Linked DNA regions of Callithrix jacchus. The protein of the gene in region 1 interacts with the protein of each later gene in a pairwise test. Links are inferred from orthologs where the notes say so. Each region holds a gene or a part of one and is shown in the gene's direction. Other genes may lie near its edges. The genes, in order: KRTAP26-1, GDPD5, GRN, CCNJL and MGAT5B.

Evidence for each region.
Region 2: the proteins of KRTAP26-1 (region 1) and GDPD5 interact in a two-hybrid assay, tested with the Homo sapiens proteins (2 studies listed by BioGRID and IntAct). The two-hybrid records come from large-scale screens. The link is inferred for Callithrix jacchus from reciprocal best matches to the Homo sapiens genes KRTAP26-1 and GDPD5.
Region 3: the proteins of KRTAP26-1 (region 1) and GRN interact in binary tests that used the Homo sapiens proteins (3 or more experiments, as listed by UniProt). The two-hybrid records come from large-scale screens. The link is inferred for Callithrix jacchus from reciprocal best matches to the Homo sapiens genes KRTAP26-1 and GRN.
Region 4: the proteins of KRTAP26-1 (region 1) and CCNJL interact in binary tests that used the Homo sapiens proteins (3 or more experiments, as listed by UniProt). The two-hybrid records come from large-scale screens. The link is inferred for Callithrix jacchus from reciprocal best matches to the Homo sapiens genes KRTAP26-1 and CCNJL.
Region 5: the proteins of KRTAP26-1 (region 1) and MGAT5B interact in a two-hybrid assay, tested with the Homo sapiens proteins (3 studies listed by BioGRID and IntAct). The two-hybrid records come from large-scale screens. The link is inferred for Callithrix jacchus from reciprocal best matches to the Homo sapiens genes KRTAP26-1 and MGAT5B.

What each region holds. Positions count from the first base shown.
Region 1 is NC_133522.1:36,367,959-36,370,574, reverse strand, and holds KRTAP26-1 (keratin-associated protein 26-1), read left to right. Parts: upstream 1-1,177; 5' UTR 1,178-1,237; coding exon 1,238-1,870; 3' UTR 1,871-2,108; downstream 2,109-2,616. UniProt on the Homo sapiens protein: In the hair cortex, hair keratin intermediate filaments are embedded in an interfilamentous matrix, consisting of hair keratin-associated proteins (KRTAP), which are essential for the formation of a rigid and resistant hair shaft through their extensive disulfide bond cross-linking with abundant cysteine residues of hair keratins.
Region 2 is NC_133511.1:65,510,710-65,514,231, forward strand, and holds part of GDPD5 (glycerophosphodiester phosphodiesterase domain-containing protein 5), read left to right. Parts: exon of another isoform or gene 1-1,112; coding exon 1,113-1,195; exon of another isoform or gene 1,196-2,332; coding exon 2,333-2,483; exon of another isoform or gene 2,484-2,629; intron 2,630-2,963; coding exon 2,964-3,182; intron 3,183-3,522. UniProt on the Homo sapiens protein: Glycerophosphodiester phosphodiesterase that promotes neurite formation and drives spinal motor neuron differentiation.
Region 3 is NC_133506.1:71,192,559-71,194,761, forward strand, and holds the end of GRN (progranulin), read left to right. Parts: coding exon 1-43; intron 44-129; coding exon 130-375; intron 376-590; coding exon 591-824; intron 825-915; coding exon 916-1,146; intron 1,147-1,235; coding exon 1,236-1,373; 3' UTR 1,374-1,683; downstream 1,684-2,203. UniProt on the Homo sapiens protein: Secreted protein that acts as a key regulator of lysosomal function and as a growth factor involved in inflammation, wound healing and cell proliferation. Regulates protein trafficking to lysosomes, and also the activity of lysosomal enzymes.
Region 4 is NC_133503.1:23,071,850-23,075,371, reverse strand, and holds part of CCNJL (cyclin-J-like protein), read left to right. Parts: intron 1-566; coding exon 567-869; intron 870-3,274; coding exon 3,275-3,434; intron 3,435-3,522.
Region 5 is NC_133506.1:132,799,354-132,802,643, forward strand, and holds the end of MGAT5B (alpha-1,6-mannosylglycoprotein 6-beta-N-acetylglucosaminyltransferase B), read left to right. Parts: intron 1-337; coding exon 338-594; intron 595-1,057; coding exon 1,058-1,256; 3' UTR 1,257-2,770; downstream 2,771-3,290. UniProt on the Homo sapiens protein: Glycosyltransferase that acts on alpha-linked mannose of N-glycans and O-mannosyl glycans.

The sequences.
Region 1 (2,616 bases):
CAAAATAGAAGAAAGTGTTATGATTTAAATTGACTATTTAGCCAAAAGGAATTGGAACTTAGAGCCAGCAGGTAATTTAAAATCCCATTAAAATAGCTACTGGAGCCACTGGGTATGTCAGTATGTGAATAATGTAGAGGGACAGTTGAAACTAACTGTAATCATACATTTTTAAAACAAATTTAACCAGAAATACATATTCTCAAATGGCCTTTAAGTATTCAAACTTAGGAAAAGTATACTTCATCCTGGTGCTATTCCCTATGTAAAGCAGTTTAGAAGTTCCTTTTTGGAAATTGACATCAAGACCAATATAGGAAGCAAAAGAAATTCATGTCATAATCAATGTATTTTTTTAACCAAGAACAATATTTTTTCAGTTGGAATATGAGTTACCATACAATACCTAGGCTTGTAAAAATCATGAAAAATATCAAGTTGTCCGACTTTCTTTAAAGGGTCTGTTTGCTTTTGTTCACAGTAGGATACATCATTTTAACTAAGTCCAACTTCGTTATCTGTATTCATGCATACCTTAAACATAAGCCAAGTTTTCAGCTGGACTCATCTATTTATTAATTGAAGTGAGTAAGATGAGCACGCATTTTAAAATAAAGATATTTTCGTAGAAAGTCAAGTCGGAGTAGAGTTCTGAAATAAAGCAAATCACACTTTGAAAAATAAATTATAATTGAGCAACACATATTGAAATTGTCCATATTTCTGCCATATAGTTCACAAGGATTTTCAGTTTCCCTTACATTTGCTTCGAAGTTACTTTCAGCAACTTCCAAGAAGAATAGAATTTCCCTTCAGAAAGATATAAGTTGTCACTGTTTCAAAGAAGTTGCTACAACTTTCGAAGAGAGGAATCTTAAGAATGTTTGTGCCATGGTGGTTCTAATTAGAGTAAGTACATAGCTTTTAAAACATGTCTGTTGTGTTTGGATAATTTAAGAAGGATAGATACTAGTAAAATGCAGTCGCGCTGGTTTATAGATATACTTAATCAATGGATGGCATTGCAAGGAGCGTTCCGGTTTTATGGGAGGTGGGAGCGTCACTTCCTTGGCTATAATAAAGAGTTCCGATGTAGCCTCGTACAACAAGAGGAAGAGTCTGTATGCAGAAGCACCATCTTCTGGGGATATATAAAGGGTCAAGTCAACGAAGGGCAGAACAAGCTCGAGACACTTGCTTCTCTCCGTCAACCGCAGCCTCTTCTCACAACCTCACTATGTCTTGCCAAAACTACTGCTCTGGAAACTCCAGCTCAGGATCTCTCAGAACCTCCTGCCATATTCCTCTTACCTCCATCGCCCTCTGCCCTACCAATGTGAGTTGTGGAGATGTCCTCTGCTTACCCACTAGCTGTCAAGACCATACCTGGCTCACAGACAACTGCCAAGAGACCTGCGGTGAACCAGCCAGCTGCCAGCCAGCCCACTGTGAGACCGGCAACCTTGAAACCTCTCGCTGTTCTTCCACTGCTTACTACGTGCCCAGATCCTGCCAAGGAACCAGTTTTCTTCCTGCTTCTTTCATCTCCAGCTCCTGCCTTCCAGTATCCTATAGACCGCAGAGCTACGTGTCCAGCAGCTGTCGTCCACTGAGGCCACTGATCAATAGTTACCAGCCCACAGGAAGCTGTGTGCCTGGTGGCTATCGTCCCCAGTCCTCTTTTGCCAATAGCTGCCAGCCCCCAAACCTCCTCACTTCTGGATGCCGACCCTCCGGTTGCTTGGCCTATGGTCCTCAAACCCTTCATGTTGTGTCCAGCAGCCTCAGACCTCTGGGGCCTCTGTTCAGTGGTTGCCAACCTCTGAGCCATGTGGTCAGCACTTGTCATCCATCTTGCTCTGCACTGTGAAACCAGTAGCTTCTTTGTTCTAGAAAAATCTGGGGACTTTTGCTTCTTCGCTAGTAGTAACTGATGTTTCTTACTTTTACTGTCTGTGATCTAATGCAACCTGCTTCTCTTACATGTTTTATCTTGTTTTCATCTTTCCTTGACATCAAAAGAATTGGCTTACAATGCTATTCAGCGTTGCTGTGGTGTGGGAAGAATGTATTTGATTTACGCTATAATAAATGCGATTAAGTCCGAATTAGGAATCTTGTTCAGTGGTTTTTCTTTCATGACTTAATTTTAACACAGAAATGACCAATGTCAATTGTTTGCAAGATGAGTGAATTGGACAAATGATTCTCAACCATATATTTGTACCTGACAGTGGAAGGATTGCTTGATGGTTTATTCCTTAAGCTGCTTTTAGACTTCTGACCCTATGTACTTGAGAGACCCAAAAAGTCCTTGGTGAAAGTTGCTTTGAAGAGGAAAAATTAGGAATGATGCCTCTTATTTCTCTATTCCACTGAATATGCTTTCACCAGAATGTTCTTTCTAATTGAAAACCTGACCAGGTTTCTGCTTAAGCCTTTGCTGGCTTCCTATAATCTATCTCCATAAGATAAATATTCAAACACCTTAGTAGCAAAGCTGGTTTCCCTCACTGTCTTTCTCCCTCCTCCCTCTCTGGCTTCATCCTATTTTGATCAGTACTGCAAATAATAAAACTAAGATCCTGCAAGCCTGACTTACACAAAGGTCCCCAA
Region 2 (3,522 bases), on another chromosome or scaffold:
GGCTGAGGTGGGAAGATAGCTGGAGCCCAGAAGTTTGAGACTGTTGTGAGCTGTGATTGTGTCACTGCACTCCAGCCTGGGTGACAGCAAGACCCTGTCTCTCAAAAAAATGCTAGAACCTGTACCTAAAAAGTGCAATTTTATTTAAAAAAAACAAACAGAAGAAATAAAGAAATAAAACAAAAAAATGCTAGAACCAGGATGATGTAAGGGCAAAACAGTTACCATTTATCAAGCACTTACTATATCTATCAGGCAGGGTGCTAGAGGCTTTTCATTCACTTAGCAGTCCAGTGAAGGAAATGGTACTGTCATATTTGTACAGATGAGGAAACTGGGTCCCCACTGAAACTCTACCATCCCATCCACCCGCTCTTCTTCCATTTCTCCCCCTGGACTTGGCTCAGGGTATAGCCAAGAGGGAATTTTACTTTCAGCCCCAGCCCAAGACTGCCAGATTGCCACAGAGGACTGTAAAAAAGCCCTCCAGCCCCAGTGTCTAGCTCAGTGGCTGGGATACAGCAGTGAAAACGCAGTGACCATAGCTACCAGGTATCAAGTGCTAGCTACATGTCAGGCATTTAAATGCATCAACACTCACCAGCCCTGCCTCCGCTCCCCTGCAGTGAAACCAGTGAGGTAGGCATGATTTAACAGATGAGGAAGCTGAACTTCAGAGAAGTGTAGTGGATGCCCAGGGTCACACAGCTACACCATGGAGGAACAAGAATTAGAAAATCCCAGCATTTGGGAGGCCGAGGCGGGTGGATCACGAGGTCAACAGAGACCATCCTGGTCAAGATGGTGAAACCCTGTCTCTACTAAAAAAATACAAAAAATTAGCTGGGCACGGTGGCGCAAGCCTGTAATCCCAGCTACTCAGGAGGCTGAGGCAGGAGAATTGCCTGAACCCAGGAGGCAGAGGTTGCATTGAGCCGAGGTCACGCTATTGCACTCCAGCCTGGGTAATGAGCAAAACTCCGTCTCAAAAAAAAAAAAAAAGAATTAGAACCATGCCTGACCCAGCCTCCCAACATGGAAGACTTTCCATTGGCTGGGGAGGGTACATCAGCTGACTCTTGGCTCTCCCTTCACCACCCCTTCCTCCCCAGCTGGCTCCAGAGCACACTCTCATGTCCTTCCGGAAGGCCCTTGAGCAGAAGCTGTATGGGCTCCAGGCTGACATTACCATCAGGTAGGTGTAGCGGAGGAAAAATAGCTCCTCTAACCCCTCCCACACACATCTGCATCTACCTGGGTCTCTGCTAGGGAAACCTCTGGTCTCAGAGCCTCTGAGATGGGAGGATAGAGGCTTAGATTATCCACAGCAGGGCAGTCACCCTGCTGGTGTAAAATAGAATAAAGAACAAATGCTCTTGGTGCAAGCAGGGGTGGGGGTGAGGACCTGGAGCCCTGCCACAGAGCAGCTTGAAGGGAAAACTAGATCTCTATGGCTCTGCATGACAGAACTCTAACACTCTCATGAGTGAAATAAAGCAAGTTTCAGAGTGATACATTCACTGTAATTCCAGTTACATTTTAAAAGACCACAAAAAAGTGACGTATATACTTTCTCCATGCACGTATATAAGTAGATATTAGTATAAATGGCAGAAAGAATCCATACCAATCTCATAACAGAAGTTATCTGAAAAGGGAAGAAGGGCAGGACTGCCATATATAGTTGCACAGGTTATGTACTGAACAAGGACATCACATATATGAGGACATTGTTCCTAGTATAGATATAGAATTGTGTATTTATTGTAACTTTCTAGCAGACGGTGGTAAAATGCCTTGAGGAACAGAGGGCATGGGTGCCTTCTACTGTTTCACACTAAGGCACCCTATGAGCTATTGGCGGCCCTGGTAGAGCAGACAAGGACTGGGGTTGGGTGAAGTTTGCTAAAGAGGTCTACATTTGCACTGCTCTCATCATAGCATCACAGGGATTTGGTCTCAAAGCCGGTTCCACCACGTACAGGCTGTGGACCTTGAGCTAGATACTTCCCTCTCTTACCCTCAGTTTCTTCATTATCAAATGAGGCAGCACCTACCTTCCAAGGTTGCTAAGAAAGTAGGTCCAGCTTTTTCTCAGCCCGCCCTTCTTGGCAGTCCCCACCCTCATCTGACCCTCAAAGAGAGCCAGAAGGCCTTCAGGTTCATCCACCAGCCCACTGTCTTTCCTGTGCAGATGGGGAGACTGAGGCCCAGAGAGGGGCAGAGCCAGCCAGATCCTGTGCTGGGTGGGGAGGACTGTGGAGGTGACAGTCATTGGTGGGCAGGTGAGGGATGGGGGGGTCAGTGACTCAGCGGCCCACCCTCCCTGTAGCCTGGACGGCGTGCCCTTCCTCATGCACGATGCCACCCTGCGGCGCACCACCAACGTGGAGGAGGAGTTCCCGGAGCTCGCCCGCAGGCCTGCCTCCATGCTCAACTGGACCACCCTGCAGAGGCTCAACGCTGGCCAGTGGTTCCTGAAGGTCTGGCTGCACCTGATCCCAGGCTTAGGCTTGGAAAATACCAGCAAGGACTCCAGGGAGTGAGAGGCATTGGTGGCCTCCTGGGCTCCTGCCACTGCTGCCATATCTCGTGGTTGTCACTGCATGTTCTGGGTCTGTTTCCCTCACTAGAAAAAGTTGACATGAATGAGAGCAGTGAATAGCATTAACTCTGTAAAACTCTGGAGAGGGGTTGGCTGCCTGGTGTGAAATGCTCCAGAAGGAGAAATGCTGTGGGGTGTGGCAGCTATTCCAAGCAAGCCATCCTCTTGGTAAGCAGGGTGTGGGGTAGGAAGGTTAGGGCTGGGGCCTCCTGCAGCCTCCACATGGCCACAGCCATCAATCTGCCTGACCCCAGCCAACTGGTAGCCCAGAGGTCTCCATGCTTGGTTGCCAGAAGGGCATGTGGGGGTCCCCAAAGGGCTCGTGATGCAGCCATGTGTGTGTCCCTGTCCCTGCCAGACTGACCCCTTCTGGACGGCCAGCTCTCTGTCACCCTCCGACTACAGAGAGGCCCAGAACCAGTCCATCTGCAGCCTGGCAGAGCTCCTGGAGCTGGCCAAAGGCAACGCCACACTGCTGCTCAACCTGCGCGACCCGCCCCGTGAGCACCCCTACCGCAGCAGCTTCCTCAACATCACTCTGGAGGCCGTGCTGCGCTCTGGCTTCCCCCAGCACCAGGTGAGGCCTTCCAGCACTGCTCTGCCCTGGGAGCCCTGGCCTGGCTGGAGCCCTGCTGCTGCCTAACCTCTCCCTGCTGCCCTCCGGACTTCAGCTTTCACATCTGTAAAGTGGGGATCACGCACCCCTCGCCTCCCTGCCAGGGTCATCGTGGGACAAGAGGGGAACAAGAAAACACTTTAAAATTTATAAAGGTCCAAGCTGTCAAGTTACTTCAGTGAAGGGTTGTCCTATCATGTGGTGTAATAATTTGGGGCCACAGAAATCTGAAGCCAGTTTAGGACGGCACCCTAGGTGCTAGCAGCCATGTGCAGAGTAGTGGCTACTGGGCTTCCCTCCT
Region 3 (2,203 bases), on another chromosome or scaffold:
CCGCCTACAGTCGGGGGCCTGGGGCTGCTGCCCTTTTACACAGGTACTCAGGGGTGGTGGGTGGGTGGACTGAGCACTGTGGCAGCCAGCTGGACCCCAGTGCCCACTGGCCCTTCCTGTCTGCCATAGGCTGTGTGCTGTGAGGACCACATACACTGCTGCCCCTCAGGGTTTACGTGTGACACACAGAAGGGTACCTGTGAACAGGGGACCCACCAGGTACCCTGGATGGAGAAGGCCCCAGCTCACCTCAGCCTGCTGGACCCGCAAGCCTTGAAGAGAGACGTCCCCTGTGATAACGTCACAAGCTGTCCCCCCTCCAATACCTGCTGCCAACTCATGTCTGGGGAGTGGGGCTGCTGTTCAGCCCCAGAGGTACATGGGAGAGGACAGCACCTTGGCCTGGGAAGGTGGTGGCCAGACTCCTCTTGCTTTCTGCCCTCTGCTTCACCCATAGGTGGCACTCAGCTCTGTCAGATTCATCCCCAGCTGGAGATGCTATAAGCAGCAAAGGCGGGCTGGAGAGGTAGGGGCTCGACGCTGTGCCCCACATGTGGCTACCTAGAATGGCCTTTTCTGCCCACCCCCAGGCTGTCTGCTGCTCGGACCACCAGCACTGCTGCCCCCAGGGCTACACGTGTGTCGTTGAGGGGCAGTGTCATCGGGGACCCAAGATCGTGGCTGGGCTGGAGAAGATGCCTGCCCGCCGGGCTTCCGGATCCCACCCCAGAGACATCGGCTGCGACCAGCACACCAGCTGTCCAGTTGGACAGACCTGCTGCCCGAGCCTGGGCGGGGGCTGGGCCTGCTGCCAGCTGCCCCATGTGAGTGCCTCCCTGCCTTCCCCTGGATAAGGGAGCTAAGCCCGGCGAGGGGACAGGAACATAATGCCATTCTGCACCCTCTCCCCACCAGGCTGTGTGCTGTGAGGATCGCCAGCACTGCTGCCCAGCTGGCTATACCTGCAACGTGAAGGCCCGATCCTGCGAGAAGGAAGTGGTCTCTGCCCAGCCTGCCACCTTCCTGGCCCGTGGCCCTCATGTGGGCATGAGGGACGTGGAATGTGGGGCAGGGCACTTCTGCCATGATGACCAGACCTGCTGCCGAGACAGCCAAGGGGGCTGGGCCTGCTGTCCCTACCGCCAGGTCAGTGACACCCCCCACCCTGGGGCTCGGTATGGCCAGGGACCCAGTCCCGCCATGTCCAACCCTCTTGTTCCACTCTGACCATCCAGGGTGTCTGTTGTGCCGATCAGCGCCACTGCTGTCCTGCCGGCTTCCATTGCTCAGCCAAGGGCACCAAGTGTTTGCGCAGGGAAACCCTGCACTGGGACACCCCTTTGAGGGACCCAGCCTTGAGACAGCTGCTGTGAGGGACAGGACTGAAGACTCTGCAGCCCTCAGGACCCCACTTGGAGGGTGCCCTCTGCTCAGGCCTCCCTAGCACCTCTCCCCAACCAAATTCTCCCTGGCCCCCATTCTAAGCTCCCCATCACCATGGAAGGTGGGGCCTCAATCTAAGGCCTTGCCTGTCAGAAGGGGGTTGTGGCAAAAGCCACATTACAAGCTGCCATCTCCTCCCCGTTTCTGTAGACCCTGTGGCCAGGTGCTTTTCCCTATTCACAGGGGTGTGTGTGTGCGTGTGCGCGTGCGCGTTCCAATAAAGTTTGTACACTTTCTTAACAGCGTCTGATTTGCCGCCTTGCCTGCATTCCCCAGGGCCCCAGAGCCAGAGTTCGCTCCACTGCCAGCACTCCCCTCCCCTTCCCCACAGAAAGACACACACGGCCTTAACCTCACCAGTTTATATTTGCTGCTGCCCACAGCCGCCGTCATCACATTACCCCCTAGTCCCCAGAGCTGCCCCAGCCACCAGCCCTGTGACATCGTAGCCCAGAGGTGGGCTAGTCAGCAAGCAGCACTCCCAACCCCTCCCAGGGGGCCATAGAGAACGCCCCCGCCCTTCCCAGCCCTCACACTAGCAGCTGAGGCTGGGTCACCCCTCCTGCTTTCCCACAATAGAGCTTTCTATATACAGCCACACTACACAGGCACTGCTTCCCCCCAGCCCTCCTCCCCGGCACCTCCCCATGAGGGCTGGACCCCCCTCCTCCCCGGCTTGGAGGCAGACACAGGGTCCCTTGTAAGACACAACCCGGCACCTACCACGGAACGGCTCCGAGGCCCCTGGGCCCCTCTCGGG
Region 4 (3,522 bases), on another chromosome or scaffold:
ATCAGAGGGGACCCAAACTAAGACCCCATTTACACAGTTTGAACTCAATACCAAGGATAGTGGGAAGCCATAGAAGGGCTTTTTCTATATGTGGAGGGACAGAGCCAGGTTTGTGCAGTCATGCTGACTCTAGGCAGGAGGTTGGATTAGTGAGGGCCGGTTGGGGAGTAGGGAGGGGACTATATTCCCCAGCCCCTGGATGCTGCTCCTGACCACTGTCTCCTGCCTCCTCTGTTCCAGTGGTTGGTTTGAGCATTTGGTGTGCATTTTCCCATTGAATCTAACAAAAGCCTAATGAAGTATAGGTTCCATCTTACAGATAAGGAAGCTGAGTCACAGAGAGGTTGAGACACCTAGTCATGATCCCACAGCGGGAAGTGATGGCTTAGAGATTCAAGCCTAGGTTTGACAAATCTGGAATGTGTGCTCTTATCCCTTTGCAGTCCGGCCTGTCTGCTTTCTGTTTTCTCTGCCAGCACTGTCCAGGCACTGTAAGGTGGGCTGTTAGCTTCCTGAATGCAGGTAAATGTCTTCCAGTAACCTCTGCTTCCCCTGCTTCCCCACAGGTAAGTTCGAGGATCGGGAAGACCACGTCCCCAAGTTGGAGCAGATAAACAGCACGAGGATCCTGAGCAGCCAGAACTTCGCCCTCACCAAGAAGGAGCTGCTGAGCACAGAGCTGCTGCTCCTGGAGGCCTTCAGCTGGAACCTCTGCCTGCCCACACCTGCCCACTTCCTGGACTACTACCTCTTGGCCTCTGTCAGCCAGAAGGACCACCACTGCCACACCTGGCCCACCACCTGCCCTCGCAAGACCAAAGAGTGCCTCAAGGAGTATGCCCATTACTTCCTAGAGGTCACCCTGCAAGGTGATGGCTGGGGCCCAAGAGCAGGACCTCCTACCCCCTCCCCACCCACCCAGGGGTCAGGGTTAGGTGGCTCTCAAGGGCATGTCCATCCAGATAAGGCCTTCTCACTGGGGCCTGTGCACCACCCATATCAGTCTTACTTTGCAGGGAATAAGCAAAGAAAGGGCAAAAATTTGCCCAGTGTGTTACCAGTAACATATAAAAGAGAAATACCTGCTTATATACAGGCAGCCGGAAACCTAGAAACTTACAGATCACCTTTTTCTTACAGTAACCTAGAACATTGCAAATGATTTAAATAGCACAGATTTGCAGGTCGGTTATTCTCAAACAGCTGCCGTCATACAGATAGTATGGGGAGAGGGAATTAGGTTTCCATCTGCTTTAGCAATAAAAGTTACCCTGTTTGGAGAGTCTTACTTGAAACTCACTCTTCCCAGTGTTTTAAAATCTAGATGTTAACTGGGTCAAAAATACTGCTGATAGGGCCAGATGTGTGGCTCACTCCTGTAATCCCAACACTTTGGGAGGCAAAGGTGGGAGGGTCATGAGGTCAGAAGATTGAGACCATCTTGGCCGACATGGTGAAACCCTGTCTCTACTAAAATACAAAAAATTAGCTGGGCATGATGGTGCGTACGTGTAGTCCCAATTACTCAGCAGGCTGAGGCAGGGGAATCGCTTGAACCCGGGATGCCGAGATTGCAGTGAACCAAGATTGTACCACTGCACTCCAGCCTGCAGTCAGAGCGACACTTTGTTTCGGGAAAAAAAAAAAATACTACTCATAACAACCATCCCATAACCTACCACAGACTAAAATGTTTGGGCATGAGTATCAAGATCGATGATTGGGCTGACCAATCAGTGACTGGTCGGACTCCCCAGCTTCAAATCCTACCAATGAGTAGGGCATGGAAGCTCTCGCCTTAATCCCAGGAGTTTGAGACTAGCCTGAGCAATGCGGTGAGAGCCCGTCTCAAAAAACATTTTTTTTTAATCCTGGCAATGACTTTGGGTAAGTTACAGCATCAGTTTCCTCTTTTGTAAAATATGATTAATGGAGGTGGTGTTGGTATAGGGTTGCTGTGAGGTTCAAATGAGATAATGTATGCAAATCACTGAAGCAAGATACCTGGCATGCAGTAATGCCCAGTTAATGCTTGGGATCATGGTTCCTTTTTTTTTTTTTTTTTAAGATGGCGTCTCACCCTGTCACCCAAGCTGGAGTGCAATAGCGCGATCTTGGCTCACTGCAACCTCTGCCTCCCGGGTTCAAGTGATTCTTCTGCCTCAGCCTCCCAAGTAGCTAAGATTACAGGCACGTGCCACCATGCCTGGCCAATTTTCTGTATCTTTAGTAGAGATGGGGTTTCACCATGTTGGCCAGGCTGGCCTCAAATTCCTGACCTCGTGTTCTGCCCGCCTTGACCTCCCAAAGTGCTCACAGGCGTGAGCCACCACGCCCAGTGAAAATCATGAACAATTTAAGACAACATAGTAATAAACTGAAAACCCAGTGGCATTCAGGAAAACTACAGAAATTTCAACTGTTTGCCTTTGCACATCAATAGTACCAGCTTTGCCATGTGGCCAGATATCTTAGTTGGACATTAAGATTCCTCAGTCAACCTAAGTGCCGGTTTTAGTTATAAATATCAAACTCTTACAGCCATTCATTCAGTACATTTTCACTGAGTACTGTGGGCCAGACATTGTTACAACTAATAAATAGCTTCCTCTAGTCATACCCCGAAACGGAAGCCTTTGAAATTGTATGTCATACACTCACATAACCAAAGAAAGGCCAAATGTTTTGCAGTTCTGTTTGTAGAACATTGGCGAGCTCCTTGCTGCCCCCTGGGAGCCATGGACAATATTTTGAAAACACTGTTCTAGGCTGCTATCAGAAATACCAGACTGGTCTGAGCATAGTGACTCACACCTATAATCCCAGCACTTTGGGAGGCTGAGGCGGGAGGATTGCTTGAGCTCAGGAGTTCAAGACCAGCCTGGGCTACATGCTAAAACTCTATCTTTCAAAAAAGTACAAAAATTGGCCAGGTTTCGTCGTGCACACTTGTAGTCCCGGCTACTCGAGAGGCCGAAGTAGTAGGATCTCTTGGTCCCGAAAAGTTGAGACTGCGATGAGCCACGATTGACCCAGTGCACTCCAGCCTGGGCGACAGAGTGAGAGAACCTGTCTCAACAAAAGAGAAATCCCAGATTGAGAGCCAAGGTTAAGATTCAAAAATGGAACTTCACAGTTTCTAATTTTCCATCCTATTTGTAGGGCAGTGATTAACAGGCTTGCAAATGATTCATTTGTCCATCCATTCTCAGGGTGGGCCTGGGATTGCAAGGGGAGGCTTTGGATGCTGACTCCCTCCATGGCTTTCTTTCAGATCACATATTCTACAAATTCCAGCCTTCTGTGGTCGCTGCAGCCTGTGTTGGGGCCTCCAGGATTTGCCTGCAGCTTTCTCCCTATTGGACCAGAGACCTGCAGAGGATCTCAAGCTACTCCCTGGAACACCTCAGCACGTGTATTGAAATTCTGCTGGTGTAAGTTTCTCCCCTGAATCCCGTGTTTCTGAAATAGTGATTTTGAAAACACTATTCTAGGCTGAAATAGTGAAGTTCCTCTTGCCTT
Region 5 (3,290 bases), on another chromosome or scaffold:
GGGTAGAAACCAGAGCTTGACTTGAGCATCAGGACAGCTCCAGGGCAGACAGGATGCAGAGAGCCCTGAATCCAAGTCCTGTTCTGTTGTCCAACCCCAAAGCCTTGGGCAGGCGCCGTGACCTCTCAGCTTCCATTCTCCCTGTAAGTGACCTGGAGACACAAGTGTCCATTGGAAGTCAATAAAATAATGCAGGTAAAGCTACCTGGTATTCAGTAAGTGCCCATTAGTGGTGGCTGGTACTGTGGCTTGTACTGGCAGGGCCACACCTTCAGGTGTCCCCCGGGTGTACCTGGCTGGCATTTCCCTACCTAACGCTGCTCCCCCCTCCTTGCAGGACTTCTGCACATCTCCAGGCCCTGCCCAACCAGGGGCCCATGCCCCGCAGAGCCCTTTTGTCCTGGCCCCAAATGCCACCCACCTCGAATGGGCTCAGAATGCCAGCTTGACCCTGGGGGCCTGGCCCCCCGTGAACTCCCTGCGGGCCTGGCTGGCTGTGCCTGGGAGGGCGTGCACCGACACCTGCCTGGACCACGGGCTGATCTGCGAGCCCTCCTTCTTCCCCTTCCTCAACAGCCAGGACGCCTTCCTCAAGTGAGTATGGGCCCCCACCCCCCAGCCCCCATCCTTGCTGGCCCAGCAGGCTCACCATGAGCTCTCATACCCAGAACTGGCCCTCAGCCCTTTCAGCGGTGGGGGATTTAATGCTTTCCAACGAGTCAGGAAGGACCCAGAAGGGACCCTCCAGGCCAACATCCAGGTCACTGCTGCCCCACTCTTGGCCAAGCCTTAAACTAGAGGAGAGGCTCCTTTCAGTCCCTGCTCTCCTTCACCCACTCAGCCCCCTACCCAGCCTGTTTGGGCGTTGTCTAGCCCAAACCATGAAAGCTGTCCTGGGTGTAACAGTAGGGAGCTGTAACACATTTCCTTATCCATTCTGGGATGGGGATGGGCCAGAGAAGGGGAGCAGGCAGTGCTGGGCTGTGGGGAACCCCTACCCTGGCCCAGCCCTTCAGCCCAAGCAACCAATGCTGAGTGATGGTGCTATGCATGCCAGATTGCAGGTGCCCTGTGACAGCACCGAGTCGGAGATGAACCACCTGTACCCGGCCTTCGCCCAGCCTGGCCAGGAGTGCTATCTGCAGAAGGAGCCCCTGCTCTTCAGCTGTGCCGGCTCCAACACCAAGTACCGCCGGCTCTGCCCCTGCCGTGACTTCCGCAAAGGCCAGGTGGCCTTGTGCCAGGGCTGTCTGTGAGGCCACCTCTGCCGCCCTGCCTGGCACCCACGGCTGGCTCTCCCCTGACACAGGAGAGAGTACCAGCAGGTCCTGGGCTCCGGCTGCTTGTCCTCCTCGCAGCTCCCCCAGGCTGGAGCTTACTTCCTTCGCCTGGAAGTGTCCAGAGGAGAGCCGTGCAGAGGAATAGGAGGCGGCGGCACACCGAGCCCCTGGGACCTCCCAGGCAGGCTCCTGGTTCTCTCCTGGGAATTCATGGCAGCATCAAGGCCAAGCAGATGTCGGGCTGCTCGGAGAGTCTGCAGGGCCCAGGAGCAGGTGGTCAAGGCCCCTTGCTTTGTGCAAGGCTGGATCTGGGCCAGATGAAGGGGGCCAGTCATTCTTGGGCCCAGGATGGGGCTTCTAGACCTGCAAGAGAGGGTAGCAGGGACCAGGCTGCCCCATGGTCCCTGAAGGGTTCAAGGAGGGCCCCTCCCCATGGGCCTGGATGGTACCTGCTCCCGGCAGGGGAATTGGGGGCTTACCCTCCTCCTGTGAGGGGAGCCAGGAACACAGGGCCCGCTGGCATTTGGGTTGTGGATGCAGGGGCAGAGGGTGGGTGGAAGGCTAAGCCAAGGGGCCCTGTTCGTGCCTCCCCTTAGCCCCTTTCCTCTCGGTTTCCCGATCCCACCACCTTCCCGCTACACTTGGGGACCACAGTTTGGGCTGCAGGGACCACCTAGGCCCTGGTTGAGTTGTTTCTTTCTCCTGCTTGTTCCAACCCTTTTCACTCCGGGCTTCTCCCAAAACCCATCCTGGCATGACCTGCCACTCCAGATGGTGGATTTGTTCCAAAGCCTCAAGCCCTGCCCCCTCCAAGGGGAGGTTTCCACCCCAGGCTCAGAGAACAGGCTCTGGGACCCCTGCCCGGGGGTGGCCTTTGTGCACCAGGCACTCCCACAGATACTGACTCCTTACCCCCCAGCATCTTTTGCAGACAGGGGCTTGGGATGGAGCCTCAGCCCCATGGCACTCCATGCCTAGTTTCCAGTTGCCCTGTCCACTTACCCAGGCAGCCCTCAACCCCACCCATGTCAAGTCCTTGTCCCTACCTCCAGCCTCAAACCGCCTTGAGATCCAGCCGTCCTTCCCTGAGTGGCATGCCTGCCACAGGACGCCCCCTTCCCCTCTCCCCCCGCCCAGAGCCCCGACTGCCTCAGCGGGTCAGGCCTTCAGAACACTGCCACCACCCAGTTTTATAATCCTGCTCCCTCTCCCAGCAACCCCACCCACCAACCTAGGCCTGCTCCTCCACCCTTCCCAGGAGGCAGCCCCAGGACGCTGAGAGTTGGTGGAGGGGCCAGGCTGGACACTTCCCACAGGAGTCCCCTCCAGACCTGGCTGGCCCCTGCAGCCGCAGAAACCACGATGGCAAGAAACTCATTGGTTCCCAAGGACTGACCTGTGGGGGAAAGCAATAGAGACACTCTTTTTTTCTCTTTTTTTAAAGATTTATTTCTTGAAATAATAAATATTTTATTGGGATGTGAGATGCAGAAGAGGAACTATGCTGGTTCTCTTTTCCTGCGGCATCCAGAGCTCACCCAGGGTGGAGGGGCAGATAGCTGATGTCTCCAGGTTCTGCTCCATGTCATGTGGGGCACACGGGGTGCTCAGGTCTGCAGAGCTGGGTGCTGTCTACTTCAAGCCACCCAAAAGAAGTCCCTGCTGGTGGCAGAGACCCAGGGTCATCTCCTGGCTGTTCCCAAGCTGTGACTGCAGGCACCCTGACAAGCAGTGGCATACTCAGTCATGTCCACGTTGGGCTGGTCTCTGCCCGCCTCCAGCTGGCTGTGACAGTGGCAGTGTGGGGTCAGGGAACACAAATCCATTTTGATAAGAGCCTGAGCCAGATAATGAGAAAATGAGCCAGTGTTTACCACCTCGGGCACTGGGCTGAGTTTGTCGCTTGCTTCAGTAGTCATTTCATGCACTCAGCTGCCCTAGCAGGTAAGTACTATTATATGAATCTTTCCATTTTACATCGAGAGGCACAGAGAGTTCAAATAACTTGCC